2 linked regions of the Pelodiscus sinensis genome follow. The protein of the gene in region 1 purifies or fractionates together with the protein of each later gene. This does not show direct contact. Links are inferred from orthologs where the notes say so. Each region holds a gene or a part of one and is shown on either strand. Other genes may lie near its edges. The genes, in order: BOD1L1 and SETD1A.

Region 1 (7,605 bases):
ACACACTAATACTTACATATAAGGAAATGTATTTCCACAAACAGATCTGGTTTATCTAAAAAGTGTTTTCCCTCCACACAGACAACTTTCCATAAACTTTCTAAGTTCCTAGAAAGTAATTGTTTGCATTTGCTTCAGGAACACTCCTACCTGACTTGTGTCTAGGTCCATGGTGTCCAACCAGTTCTGAAGCAGTTGCCACTGTAATGGCTACTGCTATAGTGAACTAGCCACACTCAAACGGCCAAATAGCCACATGTGGCTAGTAGCTAGATTGTTGGATACCGTGGATCTAGATAGTGCTCAAAATGTCCCATTAACACACATCTGAATAAACATTTCATGCCTGACAAAAAGCCTGCAGCAAATGGATTTGTTTTTATTCTCTTTCAGCATAAACTTGCAGATCCCCTTTGTAGTTATCTTTATGAATCAGTTTGAGGAAAGCATTCTATGCAGAACAGGTAGCAAGAAATGTGACAGCACTATATCTATTGTCTTCATAACCCCAATGTTAGAATTTCTCAGAATGGCATCATGTTGCAACTACTAAACAGTGGAGTTCAGATTCTTAATTTACTTTATGTAATAGCTTCAGCATTGAACCAGTTAGCTACCTAATAGCCTACCTTTTGTCCATCACGCTCTAGAAAACAGAATGAGTTGCCTATGGCTACATTTCACTTGAGACCATTTCTCCATTTATGGTGTTATCAAGTCTTAACTACAAAATAATTGTATTTCCTCTATACTCAAGTGTTGATACCTATCACTAACCATGCAACAGGTGGCATTTGCTCCCAAGTTTCAGATCTGTCCCTAAAATTGACAGGATGGCAACCTTTATCTATACAAATTAGTTTGGAGTAACATTAGGCGGCTTCTCATATTAGGGTAATGTGCAACACTAGGCAGAGGATATTAATGTAAATGTGTTTATGGCACAAATTAGATTCACCATAAATGCTTATTCAAAGATATTTCAAGATGACCATTTACCAGCAGTCTTTACAAAACTTTTTAGCTGTCCATAGAAATCAAGTCTGTTCAAGGATTTCTGTTTTGTGAATATGACTCTGAATAACTAACTTGTGCTTGCAACATACATGAATTTTCATATCTACAATCCTATTAATAACACAAGATTTAACCCAGAAAACCGAACAACAACTAGTAATTTGTTGAATAAACCACTTATGAGTTAGTGGTAGTGCCAGAATCCTTGTATGCAAAGACTGCAGACCCAATATTCCAACAAAGCGAGACTCCTTCAAAGTTGTGATGCAAAACAGGAAACATTCAACACTGTATTACAACATATCACAAGAGTGACGAGCATTTATATCCGGATACAATGGTAACAAAGGTAACATTCTCTCTTCATAGAAGTTGTGGAATTTCTTTGTCTAGCTAAGCTTTCGTGGGCAAAGACCCACTTCATCAGGTGCATCTGACAAGGTGGGTCTTTGCCCTCAGAAACTTATGCTCCAATATATCAGTTAGTCTATAAGGTGCCACAGGACTTCTTGTTATTTACGCAGATTCAGACTAACACTAGGTTTCCATTCACCTATCACTAGAGCACGAGTATCTATTTAAACGGCAGAATATTAACTCAACTTATGACTTACTTGAGAACCTGCTGCCTAATATTATTTCTCAACTGATTCTTGTTGAGATGAGGACTCCAAGTATGAGTTGCCAGATGATTGGAAACAAAGTTGTCAACGCGTTGTCTCAGGTTTTGATAAGCAGGCTAAAGGGGCAAAAGGTGAGATCAGATATTTAAAAAAGCTGCTTAAAACTCATTTTCCTAATGAGAGGGCTGAAAAACTTTAAAAAGCTCCCTAGATCTTAACTGCCGAATCAATAAAAATATCAGGATTGCCATCCTCTGATAGGCAATGCCCATATACCAAAACCTATTTACCGAAAAGAATTCTATTACCCTCTTGGGAAAAAGTTTATACAGTATAACCTACATAAACGGGAGCGACCAGTCCCTTTTACACAGACGGCCCGATCTTGCTGAAGTCACTCACTGATCCCTGAGAGCTCATTCCTTAGGCAGGAACCTGCTGCTAAGGACCCTGCCAGCGGTCTAGTGCGAGGGGCAACGCGCTGAGCTGCTGCTGCGACGTATCCCCGGGGAACGACATTCCCAGGACGCTAGAGCCAGCCAGGAGTCTCTGCAAGGCTGCGAGGACCCGCCGGCTCCGTGTCCAGGGCAGCCCTGCCTCCACCCCGGGCAACGCTCACCAGGCAGGAGCGGCTGCGCGTCTCGGCAGACAGCCCTCCTCCCCTCCCCCGAGCTCCGGGCCCCCGTGGCGCTCGCCCCCTCCTCAGACCTGCCCCCGCCCATACCTTGGTGTCCACGTCGGCCAGGCAGTCGCGGCGGAACTGGTCGAACAGCCCCTGGCTCTTCAGGTGATTAACGATCACGGACACCAGCTCGGGCTCCACCGCGCCGCCCCCGCCGGCAGCCCCAGGCAGCGGCGGCTGCTGCTGTGGGGGCGGCGGAGGGGGCGGCGGCGGAGGGGGCTGGGGCTGCGGGTTACTGGCCATGGGGGCAGCGGGGTCTTCAGAGAGCGCGGGCGGCAACCGGCTCCTCTAGCCGGGCCCCGGGCAGGGGGCTGGTTACTGAGCAGCAACCGCGGCAACGCTGACCCCGGAAGTGAAAGGGAACGGAGGGAGGAAGCGAGAGACAACGAGCGGAGAGGGGCAGGGCTGATTCGCACAGAGGAATGGGCGTTGCTACTGGCTGTTCACCCCGCTCCCGGGGCGGGAACATCTGAGCCGAGCCCTCCGGCTCCGGCTCCGGCCCCTCCTTCCCAGCTCCCCGGGCGCAGCCCCATTGCTGCGCGCGGCGGCAGCGCCTCTACCAGCCGGCTGAGCTTGAGAACGAGAAAGGGGCGGGGCTGTGCGCCGGTTCTGAGCATGCGCCTGTGACGTGCGCGTGCTCAGTAAGAGCTGCTGAAGCCGCTGCCCTGGCTTGGCAATTGCTGCTCGCGCAGGAGCCCTGGGGAGCGAGGGGGGCAGGATCTGGGCAGTGCCCGACGGGATGGTGCAGGCTGGCCGGGCGCCTGGAGGCAGCCGAGGCAGGGCTGAGGGGCACAGTCAGGCGGGGGTTGGGCGCTGGGGATGAGGCTGAGGGGCTGCCCCCTTCTCCCCTGCAGGACAGTCCGTCTTGGCTCCCGCCTCCCAGGCCCTGTGCTGCGCCAGGCGGCTCGTCGTCCACTCTAGGCACACGAATGTCATTGTGCCCTTCAGATCATACTTTAGGTGCAGTTAATCAGTTTAAAAATATTCATAGCTGCTAGTAGGCTTCAGCCATCCCGTCTCAGTGTTTCTGGGGTAGCACTGTCCGTATCGTGCCAGTAGTTTTTGTCAAACACCATTTTATTCTTTGGGACCTTTATTCTTATCAACACCTGCTGATTTCCTGGGTTGATGTCACATTGCAGTTTCTTTTAATAAATCAATGAAGATCGTGTTGGTCAATTGTTTTGCTTTCTTATCCAGCACCCTGTTTTTATCCCATTACTATTTGTGTGTCAAATTTGGTTCCCAAAAAATCACTGCATGCCAGATTTTTAAAGGCTAAAAGTGTCATGATGCTTCTGAAAATCCTACTAGTCGGCTAAATACTTTTAAAAATCTGGCGCAGTGGGACTATCCTAAAAAATAAATTTCTATTGTATTGTTTCTAAATATAGATATAATAGAGGTATTCAAAAATCATGAGATATGCATCCCAAAGTCATAACGTTAAAATAAATAAATACATTTTAGAGTCTTAAATTTTCTTTTTTGTCGAGCCTTTCAGATGTACTAGCTTCATACTTTTTCTGTTAGCTCTTTCAAAGCATCCATATATGTAAAACAATAGTACATTTCTTTAATATTGAGTGCTTTTTTGAACTTCCAGTAAGTAAGATGTGACTTTTATCCCTTCCCTTTGTAAATGAAAACATTAAACATTTATTTCTGTAAGTAATTTGCCATCCTGCAAACATCGAAGTGCATACTTTACTGTTTATTACTTAATTTGTTGCATACATAAATTTTGATATTTCTACTAACTTGTTTATGCATATTTTAATTTCATAGTATTTTGTATATGTTTAATATTTCAGTATAATACATGTTAGTGTTGTTCTTCATTTTGACAAGTTTACTGCTTTTTTTAAACGAATTACGGTATCCTGTTTCTCCTTTGCATTGATTGCACGGGAGGGAGGGCATGGTGCTGACCTCACATAGTTTGTCTTCTGGTGAAACTAAAGTGTCTTGTCTCTACCATGTTTTTACAGTAGAATAGCTAATGCATGGTAATTACCCCAGGGTAAAAACTCATGTTTCCTTAGTATTGAGGACGGAGATGATACTAATCACTGAGATATTAAATGAATCATTATTATTCATTGCTTCACAGCTCTGGTGCTGATTGTGTGGCTCATACTACTCCTTTGCCAAAAGAAAGATTTGTGTCTCAGACTACGGGTACAACAGACAGTTTACAGCATTGGGAACTGTAGCAATGAACTGCCCCCCTGTAAACTCTTTAATGTAATTGCTGTAGGGCGGATGGAAGGAGAAAGCTCTTCCATTAGCTTAACTATTCCAGCCTTAAGGGTATGTCTACACTAGGGTTTTTTTTTTTTTGCAGAAGAAGCAATGCAAATGAAGCGCTCATTAGCATTTTCTTGCACTTCATTTGCATAATCTCTTCCAATGCTTTTTGCGCAAGAGGTTTTTGCGCAAAAATTAGCTGTGTAGACGGATCCGTTTTGTACAAAACCCCCTTTTGCGCAAGATATCCTTTTCTGAGGCATAAGGATCTTGTGCAAAAGGTTTTGTGCAAAATGGATCCATATACACATCTAGTTTTTCCACAAAAATGTCTTGCGCAAAAAGCATCGGAAGAGATTATGCAAATGAAGTGTGAGAAAATACAGTCCCCCACCCCAAAAGGGTGGGCAGCATGCCCCTAGCCACTGGAGCCCAGCAGCACACCCAAAGTGGATGCTGTGGGGCTTAGTGCAGGTGTGGCCACACCTGGCTGTTTAGGGAGGCATAGCCACCCCTTCCTGCCATCCATTCTTAGGCACCTAACTCGGGATTTGAGAATCACAGTGGTATTCCTGTGACTTAGGGTATGTCTTCACTACAGCATTATTTGGAAATATCTTATTTCGAAATAGTTAATTCGAAATAAGTTATTTCAAAATAACGCGTCTACTCACAAAATGCATTTCACAATAGTGTCTTGCTATTTTGAAATAGCACATCCACACTGAGTGCACACTGAATCGCATTTAAAGCCGACCGGAACGAGGTCCAGCAGGACATCAGGTCAGGAGTTACTTTGTGTGGCTGCTTCCTGAGGCTATCCGAGACCTGTGCTTAAAGCCCTCCCCCCCACCCCCGGTCTGGGGAGCTGGTTCTCAGCTTTCCCTGCTTGCTTGCCAGCCTCAATGAGGGACAGCAAAGCATTTTGTCTCTGCGTGCTCTGGTTGCCCTCACTTGGGACACTACAGCACTCGGCGCCATGGAGCCAGAGCTCCCCCTGGGCACTCTGGTGCTTCTCTTGGATGCATTGCTGTGAGCCTGGCTGCACTTTCTGCAGGCTGTCATCCAGGAGGTCCATCGGGGGGCTGTCAGCATTCAGGAGGCCATGTGAGAGAGCTTCCACCCTGAGGAGCCACTAAGAGCCTCCCTGGTCTGCCCCACTGGTGGCTTGTGCCTCATTCCTCCCTCACATCCTTCCACTTAACCCTCCCTAACCCCCCTTCCTGATGTCAAATAAAATACATGTATTTTCATGAACACAAACTCTCTTTATTTAAAAAACTGGGGGTGGGAGGTGGGGGAATGAAACTCTGGTGAGACTGGGGAAAGGAGGCACGAGAGGGGAGGAGGAATCTGGAAGGGGGAAGCAAGGGGAAGAAGGGGGAGGGGTAGCTCAGGACTCAGGGTTGGGGGTCTCACCGGACCAACTTGATTTTCATGCAAACCTGCTCCTGGGTTTGCATGTGGCGTTTGGTGGCCAGGCTGGCAGCTATCTTGCCATAGACGGCCGCGTTCCTCCATCTAGTGCGGAGATCATGGACGTTGGGAGCATCCCCCCAAACCTGAATAAGGTCCATGATCTCCACCCTGGATCAGGAATGCGCCCGCCTTCTCCGTGCCCTGGCAGGCTCCTGGGAACTGGCAGACTGCTCCTGAGGAGCGGTGGAGGGCTGGTTGCCAGTGGCTTGCGGGCTCATGTTTTGGGACTACTGCGTCAGGAGCAGTGACTGCTGGTTCTGGGCTGGCAGGCTTGGAGCTGGCACAGGCACTGTGGCCAGAGTCAACCCTTTTAAGGGCTCCAGGGGAGGAGTGTTCTTGGTTGAGGCTAGAGTGGCCACCAAGGCACCTTGGGAAGGCCAGAGGCCCCATATTTCGATATAAGTTTCTACACAGCACTTATTTCGAAATAGCTATTTAGAATTTGGTGTTATTCCTCGTGGAATGAGGTTTACCAAATTCTAAATAAGTGCTCCACTATTTCAAATTAATTTTGAAATAGCAGTTTGGCTGTGTACACGCTAGTAAAATTATTTTAAAATAACGGCGTCCCCTTACTTGATGCCTAAAAGCTAGGGATTGTGACACTGATCGTTGGAATGTTTCACTCCTTTTTTAAATCTAGTCCTTAGGCCTTTCCCACAGTGCTACAAAAGGTGAGTTTTTGTTTTGCTTTTATAACATGGGGTAATTACGGTGCACGAGCTATTCTGAACTAAATGCGCAGGGAAGACAAAGCCCTTCTGTTTTAGCAGTGACGAAAAGGCTTTAAAATGTTTCTGGAATAAGATCAGAAGTATATTCACTCAGCCACAGCAGAGAAGTACAAATTATTTTTTGAGAACTTGGTGTGTAAAAGTGACAGTGGAAGGAAAGTCTGGATAAGAAACAAAGGTCACTGTCCTACCTAACAGCTTTTGTTTAAAGTGTCTTCATCAATATTTCAGATACTGCTTACAATGCTGTATGCCATTTTGTGGTTTTTGTATACATTAAATCTTTGTTTACTATAGAAACTGTATGGTCTGCTCTGAAATGGAAAGAGACATAAAGAAATAACAATACAGTAACTGAATTCAGGGTTTTACATACAATATTCCTGTGGCTTAATTGTATAGAATTGTGATTGAATGTATCCTTATATTCACACCTTACACACCATTGTAATAATACTAGTATAAACATGCCTTATGATGTAGCATTTGAAAACTAAAAACTTGCTGGAAAATATTATCATGGTGAAATATGCATAGCAACATTGCACGTAAAGTTATGAACATAAGCCCAATTAGATCTGAAATGTATTTACCAGACAAGCTTGGGTAAATCAGTTTCTGAAAGACAAAGGACAAGCTAGTGCCCCTACCCAGATGTCATCAAAGCTGATAGGCAATCACCTGTCCAGTGGCCAGTCCTTAGCAAGGAAGGTGGGTAGAAGCTGAGGCCTCCTTGTCACTTTTGAAGATCCAGACTAACACGGCTACCCCTCTGATACTTAACTCCAGATAGGTTAATTTCATATCTTAAATTGCATTT
Region 2 (7,548 bases), on another chromosome or scaffold:
TCAGGATGGAGAAAATGAAGTAAGACTCCTGCGTGTGAAACCTTAGCTGGGGCCCGGAACATGGGCCCCTCCCCTTGTAGGGGCCCCCAGCTCCCTTCTGGCTGTAGGGAGTGAGGAACGGGCATGGGGCCTCCCCTCACCCGCCCATCCCGCGGAGCGCCGGCTCCTGGCCTGCCCTCTGGCTGGGAACTAGCTGGCTCAGGGACAGAGGTAACCCCAAAAGGCAGAGAAGTTTGTAGGCAGAGTTTGAAGTTAGGTCTGAAATAGCGGGGTAACCGCTGCCCTCTGGTGGGGAATTGAGTTAATTACACCAGGTGAGCAAAGAGGTGACCTACACCAAGCAAAATAGAATCAGCGTTGCTCAGTGACTCCTACTTCATCTCTTCTTTATGGTCGCTCCTTGTTTCCTGCCGGCCTGGACGGAGAGCGGGATCCCTGGTGTACGGCAGAGACGATCCCTCTCCCAGACCGCTCGTGTCCTACGCAGACAAAGACAGGATCATTCTTCCTGCTTCAGAAGAGGAAACCGAGGCCCAGAGAGATTCAGCGATTGGCCCAAAGTCCCAGAGGGAGGCTGTGGCTAAGCTGGGCATAGAAACCAACTATCCTAATTCTGTGCCCTGTCTTAACCATATGAACAACACCCCAATGTGTTTGTGCCACGTTTTTTCTTCTTTACTTTGCGTACACAAGCCCCTAGTGTATTTTGTAATTCATGTCATTTTAGCCTTGGAATAAACCATCCTTTGCCTGCCTCTTAGGAGTCCCCTGAGATGTGAATCAGGCCTGTCCCAGCCTTCAGTTGAAACCATGTTGGATATTTCACATAATGAACTTTAACACCTGCCGACTACTGGGGAGAAGAGTTAAATAGGGAGGTTAGTAAGGGACTAAGACCATGAAGTGGCCTTTATAGGTACACGTGGGTCAGTGGCTGGGGGTGAGGGGTTAGGAAGGTTGCTCTTGTTAATTCTTCATCTATGCTCCACACGCTTTTATGTGACAATGAGACTCATCCATCTCCCACTGCAAGCATCTACTTGAATCTGCTGGAGAGAGGAGACATCTGCAGATGTGATCTGCATATTGTCCCCACAGAACCAGTGCCTCCCCCGCAGTGTTAATGTCCCCCATGCAATGTTAATGTGCTTGTTGGTGGTAGATCTTGGGTACAATGGGTGTAATACCCCATCCTCTCAATAAAGATGGTGTTGCCAGCACACAGTGCCCGAGGGGGGCAACAGCTGGGTTCAGTGCCCGGTGTGCGTGCTCCAATAAACACACCGGTGTGGAGAAGCAAAAAAAGTTTATTTGAACGCTCAAATAGGTGCCAGGAGACTAGACATCTCAGATCAAGCACACCAACGGAAGCAGTTTCCCCTCCTTATACTCCCAGGTTGTTTACTTGCAGGAAAATAGTGAATTGTAGCAAGGTTCCCACGCTGGGACATGTTGCTTCTCCTCCCCTCTACAGAGACACATCTGAATTCTTCTTCTGTACCACTGATAGTAACTAGGCAACCTCAAGGTCTGTCTGTCTTGCTGTTCCCAGCTATTAGCGAGCCAAAGAAAAGTTATGCCTGGGGCGGGAAGGGGCGGAAGGTGGGGGAAGAGGGGTGCTTGGGCCTAGAGCGGGGGGGCTTCATCGATCCTTGTGATCTTCCACTCCCCCGAGTTACCTAGGATCATGCCCAGTGACCCCAACAATGGGCAGGACCCAAACTGTGGCTTGCTGGTTTTCAGGGCTAGTGGGCGTCAAGAAAGACTTGGGGGCACCTTGTATCTGCTTGCACTCAACTCTGTGTTGACTCCTTGGGGGCATCTAGACTGGCAAGATTTTGCGCAAAAACTTGCCAGCTGTCTACACTGGCCGCTTGAATTTGTGCAAGAACACTGACTTTGTAATGTACAAAATCAGTGCTTCTTGCCCAAATACTTTCACGCTCCCACTCGGGAAAAAGCCCTCTTGCGCAAGAATACTTGCTCGAGAGGGCCAGTGTAAACAGGGAAGAACCGTTTTGCGCAAAAAAGCCCCGATGGCTAAAATGGTGATCGGGGCTTTCTTGCGCAAAATCACGTCTAGACTGGCCAAAGCATCCGTGCCAATCTAGACACGCTTTTGCGGTAATACTTTTAACGGAAAAACTTTTCTGTTAAAAGTATTTCCACAAAATCATGCCAGTCTAGACACAGCCCTTCTGTCTGTGAAGTGAAATCAATAGATTCAACACTTGTGAAAGCTATCAAAAAATAGGTCACAGGATGCAAATTGGTCCCAGATGGCACTATATATACCCAAGGGCTGTGTCTACACTGGCATGAATTTCCGGAAATGCTTAAAACGGAATACTATTCTGTTTTAAGCATTTCCGGAAAAGGAGCGTCTACATTGGCAGGCTGCTTTTCCGGAAAAGCCCTTTTTCTGGAAAAGCGTCTGTGGCCAATGTAGACGCGCTTTTCCAGAAAAGAACCCCGAGCGTCATTTTCGCGATCGGGGCTTTTTTCCGGAAAAGACTACTGGGCTGTCTACACTGGCCCTTTTCCGGAACAGTGTTCCGGAATAAGGACTTATACCCGAGCGGGAGCAGAATAGTTTTTCTGGAATAGCGGCTGATTTTGTACAGTAGAGCGTCGTTGCTTTTCCGGAAATTCAAGGGCCAGTGTAGACAGCTCGCAGCTTATTCCGGAAAAGCGGCTGATTTTCCGGAATAAGTGGCCCAGTGTAGACACAGCCTTCAGGAGGTTGTAATTGGGCCTATGGAATGGCAGTAGCAGATTCGACATACACATCCCTCTCTTCTGTCAAGTAAATGAAAAAAAAACAGGCTTGATGAATTAGCATTTAATTTGGCTTTTCATGAGATTTTGGATATATCCCACCACATCTGGATGGTTTATTACTTCCCTAGATATATTTCCATTTATTGACATTTCCACAATGAAAGTGCAGAAGATGAGTCACTCGCTTTTTATTGCCTTCCTTATGAAAAAAGTCAGGTGATTATTTCGTAGATTCCACACAATTTGCACGTGGCCTTAAAAATTGGTGAAGTAATGATTGATTTTCTGCTCTCTGATGTTATTTAACTTAGATAATGATTTTTTTCTAACCTCTGACGAAAGTGCTTGCTGGGGATAAGACAGCAGTTTTTTCTTTATCCCCCATATCTACTTGGCTCTAGCATATTCGCCATAACACTTAAAATAAACTAATTACATTATGTTAATGAAAGGGCTGATTTCTCTCCTACTCGTGACTCTCTAAAGGGAGGAAGTTATTTTAATGTATTGTCATTTATTACACCTTATGGCAAAAGTGCGGTAGGTAAACCAATCTCCTAGGATTCCCCTTAGACACTGAAACTAGTTTTCGACAAAGCAGATTCAATGCAGTAAATGGGAATTACTTCCTTTAAGTAATATATACAGTCATGGGTTCATTTGTCTCCCACTGATTCTTCCGTTGCATTGTAGGTCGTTATTATATAATTGACTTTCTTCTAGTTCATGGTGAAAGTGCAAGGTATGAATAATTGACACCCTTTTCTCGTTCTCCAATAGCTATGGTATTACCTGGGATTTCGCAAGAGCAGATTCAATACTTGAACCTTTCCATCTACACAGATAATAGGCTAGTTTTTTTTGAGGACAGGGTCATTAGTCAGCTTACTGGCTATTTTATTTACCCACTCATAACGAAAGTGATGGGTGCACATATACACTATTACATTTAACCCTTAAGTCCTAGATAAAATTTCAGCAAAGTAGATATAATCTCTCAGCCATCTATTTCCGCACTATAAAACAACAGACTATAGAGTTGGTCTCACGATTCTTCTTGGCTTTGCTACAGTTGTGAAATACATTATTAAAATATATTGAAATGTAGCCCCACCCCTGGCGAAAGTGCCGGACTCGAATAAAAGTTTATTCCCTTTCTAGCAGCAAGCTACACATTCACCAAAGTAGATTCCATTCCTGCCTCTCTCATTCTCCGCTCCATAAAAGTCGTATGAGCCGGTGAGGGCAGCTCAGGAGTCACCTGTCTCCTGTTGGCTTTTCTATAGCGCTGTACTGAAGTATTGAGAGGGACTGGAATGCAATGCATGCCCGTGGCGAAAGTGCTGCAGGCGAATAACACTCCCTCCCTTAGCTGCCATTTCGCCAAATCCGATTCGTTCCTCGGACATCTAATCCCCCCCCCTCGTTACGATCCATCGCTGTCTTCCTTTCAGCGTCACGCAGTATTGCTGTTAATTATTTAAATGTATTTAAATGCATGCCGTCGCATGGCGAAAGTGCCGAGGTTGTGCCTTGCCCCTAGGAACTAGCTGCGAGTTCAGAAGAGCAGATTCGCTCCCGCCATCTCCAAGTGGGCCCTTCAAAAATAGCCGGGCGCGTGAGGATGAGTCACGCTCCCCCCAGTGGCTCTGCGCGCCGCGGCGAGGGGCGAGGGAAGCAGGTTTCCCCCGAGGCCAGTTTGTGGCGAAAGTGCGCGGCTGGCTCTCCCTGCGGCGCAGGTAGCTGGGGTTTGGGCTCGGCGGATTCGTCACACGACCCCCGCGCTTGGAGGGACGAGAGAGAAGAAATGGCTGCGCCGCGGGGGGAGGGCGCGGGGGGGAGGAGGGCGGCGGCGGCGCGGTCCCGCCTGCCGCGGAGGGAAATCGGTATTATCTCCCGCGTCGAAACTGCGGTCGCGAACGCACAGAGCCGGCGAAGGCGGGGGTGGAGCGGGCCAGCCGGCGGGAAGTCTCGCGCGAGCCGGCGGGACGTCGGCCGTTGGCCCCGCCCCCTCTCCCTGTCTGCGGCGGCGGCAGTAGCGGGCCCCCCCTGGTCGCCGAGCGAAGAGGCCGCGCGCGCGGGGGGGGGAGGGGCCGGGAGCAGGGAGGTGAGAGCGGCGGCGGCGCGCGCGGGGAAGGGGGCGCGAGGCGGAGGGGGCGGGGCCGCGGGTGAGGGGCAGCGGCGCGCGCGGGGACGGTTACGAGGGGGGCGGGGGAGGATGCTGGGGGGGCCCTGGGGGGTGGGGGGCTCAGATCTCTGGGGGGGGCCCTGGGGGTAGGGGGTGGGGGGCTGAGGTCCCTGGGGGGGGCCTGGGAGTAGGGGGGTGGGGGGCTGAGGTCTCTGGGGGGGCCCTGGGGGTGGGGGGTGGGGGGCTGAGGTCTCTGGGGGGGCCCTGGGGGTGGGGGGTGGGGGGCTGAGGTCTCTGGGGGGGCCCTGGGGGTAGGGGGTGGGGGGCTGAGGTCTCTGGGGGGGCCCTGGGAGTAGGGGGGGTGGGGGGCTCAGATCTCTGGGGGGGCCCTGGGGGTAGGGGGCTGAGGTCTCTGGGGGGGCCCTGGGAGTAGGGGGGTGGGGGGCTGAGGTCTCTGGGGGGGGCCTGGGGGTAGGGGGGGGCTCAGATCTCTGGGGGGGCCCTGGGGGTAGGGGGCTGAGGTCTCTGGGGGGGGGCCCTGGGAGTAGGGGGCTGAGGTCTCTGGGGGGGCCCTGGGAGTAGGGGGGTGGGGGGCTCAGATCTCTGGGGGGGGCCCTGGGGGCGGGGGGGTGGGGGGCTGAGGTCCCTGGGGGTAGGGAGGTGGGGGGCTGAGGTCTCTGGGGGGGCTCTAAGGGTGGTGGGCTGAGGTCTCGGGGGGGCCCTGGGAGTACGGAGGTGGGGGGCTGAGGTCTGGGGGGGGGCCCTGGGGGTAGGGGAGGTTCAGAAGAGGGGCTCTGCAGGTGGGGGGCTGAGGTCACGGGGGGCTCTGGGAGTGGGGAGACTGAGGTCTTGGTGGGGTTCTGGGCATGGAGGGGGCTCTGTGGGTGGGGGGGCTGAGGTCTCTGAGGGGGCTCTGGTTATGTGGGGGCTCAGCATAGGGGCTCTGGGAGTGAGCTCTGGGGGGCTGAGGTCTCGGGGGGCTCTGGTTATGGGGGGGCTCAGAAGAGGGGCTCTACGGGTGTGGGGCTGAGGTCTCTGAGAGGACTGGATATCTTCTAGAGAGCGCAGGCTCTGAGGTGGGAGCAGGGGAGTTGGGGGAAAGGCCCCCGGGGGGAGGTTCTGAGGGGAGGGTTTCAGAAGTGTGGGGAGGAGCTGAGGCCTTGAAGTGGGGTATAGGGACCTGAGGGGATGGGGAGTTGGGAGTCTGCGATGGGGAATGTGTAGGAGGTGAAGTGGGTGAGGGTCCAGAGAGGGGTCCTGAGTGGTGAAGATCTGAGGGAGCTGAGGAGAGTATTGGCAGGGGGTGGGGTGCTGAAGCCCACAATGGGGGTTGTTGGGAGAGGACCAGAGAGGTGTGTGGGGGACACTAAGATGGGAGAATTGGGATGGGGGGCATAAGATTTGGATGGAGGGCATCAAGGGGCCTGGGGTGCTGAGTTGGGGAAGGGCTTGCACCAGCAGAAGGAAGCTTTTCGGTGCTCAGGGTGGGACAGCGTCACCAAAGACATGGGATGTGGTGTCCTGTAGGGAGAGCTGCAGGCCCTAGTGAGGTGGTAGGTGTGGGGGGCTTGGAGTCACAGCTCCTGAGATCTGCCCTGGTTCTGGGAGGTGAATGGGGTGTGGTCCGTTAAACCTGGGGCTTGGGAGCCAGGACTTGTGGGTTCTTTTTCCGACTCTGCCACTGATCAGCTACATAGCTTTGCCTTTTTGCTGTTCTAGGCCTCCATTTCCTTGCATCTGAAGTGGGGATGATAATGGAGCTGGCTAGGTTAGATTTTTGGGTTAAAGGGGCCATAGGAGAGTGAACTGTCTCATCAAAGGGCCCCCCAGGTGGGTGGGGAAGGCAGCTCGAGGAGGTCTTTGGGGGGTTCTGAGGGGAGGGGTTCAGAAGTGTGGGGAGGAGCTATTATAAACATCCTTTGGCTGTACCAGGGCCCATATTGCTCTGCATTCCAGCTTCCAGTCTTAGATCATAACTCCCTTCTGTCAGGGAATGGCTGCTTTCCAAAATTCAGAGCAGCACCCGAGCTTTCTCTTGGAGGCTTGTTCTAGGGTTTCGTGCTGCAGCCCATCACCCTAGTATCTGCGCACCTCTGAACAGCTCCTTTGCTCTCTGCTACCTTGTCTTATTTCTGAACCTTCCCATCTCAATATTTGTCTTAGGAGGCTTAGAATAGGTCTCCGGTGCCAGATTGTGAAATAATTAGTAATTTGAGTTTACTTTGTCTTTTGAGTCCTTAATTTTTTAATTTATTTTTGCTGGTAGACAAGTTGGTTGGAAACTCTAATATCATACAGGAGCTAGGGATCCCTGTCTCCCATCCCTTCCTGCTCTAATCCACTATACCCCACTCCCCTTCCAGACCTGGGGATAGGACCCAACATGTTTGTCCTCTTACAGGGTAGGGTACCACCCTTTGTATGTTCTGGATGCATTCTGTGTAATACACACCATAACCCCCTCCCCTTTAACCCTTTATTCCTGTGACACTTAACCCCTATTTTCTTTGCTTGCTTCCCAGTTCTTTGAGGTCCCACTCTGCGTTATGGACTAAGCATCTGCTCTGTTGCGTCAAAAAGAAGCATACTGCATTTACAGATACACGTCGTCTTTTATCGCTGTCAAGAGTGCAAAACAC

The links.
Region 2: the proteins of BOD1L1 (region 1) and SETD1A purify together in Homo sapiens (affinity purification with mass spectrometry; 3 studies listed by BioGRID and IntAct, with this or other methods). This does not show direct contact. The link is inferred for Pelodiscus sinensis from reciprocal best matches to the Homo sapiens genes BOD1L1 and SETD1A.

The regions. Positions count from the first base shown.
Region 1 is NC_134715.1:108,496,851-108,504,455, reverse strand, and holds the start of BOD1L1 (biorientation of chromosomes in cell division protein 1-like 1), read right to left. Parts: upstream 3,061-7,605; 5' UTR 2,566-3,060; coding exon 2,365-2,565; intron 1,757-2,364; coding exon 1,632-1,756; intron 1-1,631. UniProt on the Homo sapiens protein: Component of the fork protection machinery required to protect stalled/damaged replication forks from uncontrolled DNA2-dependent resection.
Region 2 is NC_134714.1:134,014,321-134,021,868, reverse strand, and holds the start of SETD1A (histone-lysine N-methyltransferase SETD1A), read left to right. Parts: upstream 1-4,499; 5' UTR 4,500-4,520; intron 4,521-4,739; exon of another isoform or gene 4,740-4,888; intron 4,889-5,963; exon of another isoform or gene 5,964-5,985; intron 5,986-6,310; exon of another isoform or gene 6,311-6,462; intron 6,463-7,431; 5' UTR 7,432-7,548. UniProt on the Homo sapiens protein: Histone methyltransferase that catalyzes methyl group transfer from S-adenosyl-L-methionine to the epsilon-amino group of 'Lys-4' of histone H3 (H3K4) via a non-processive mechanism.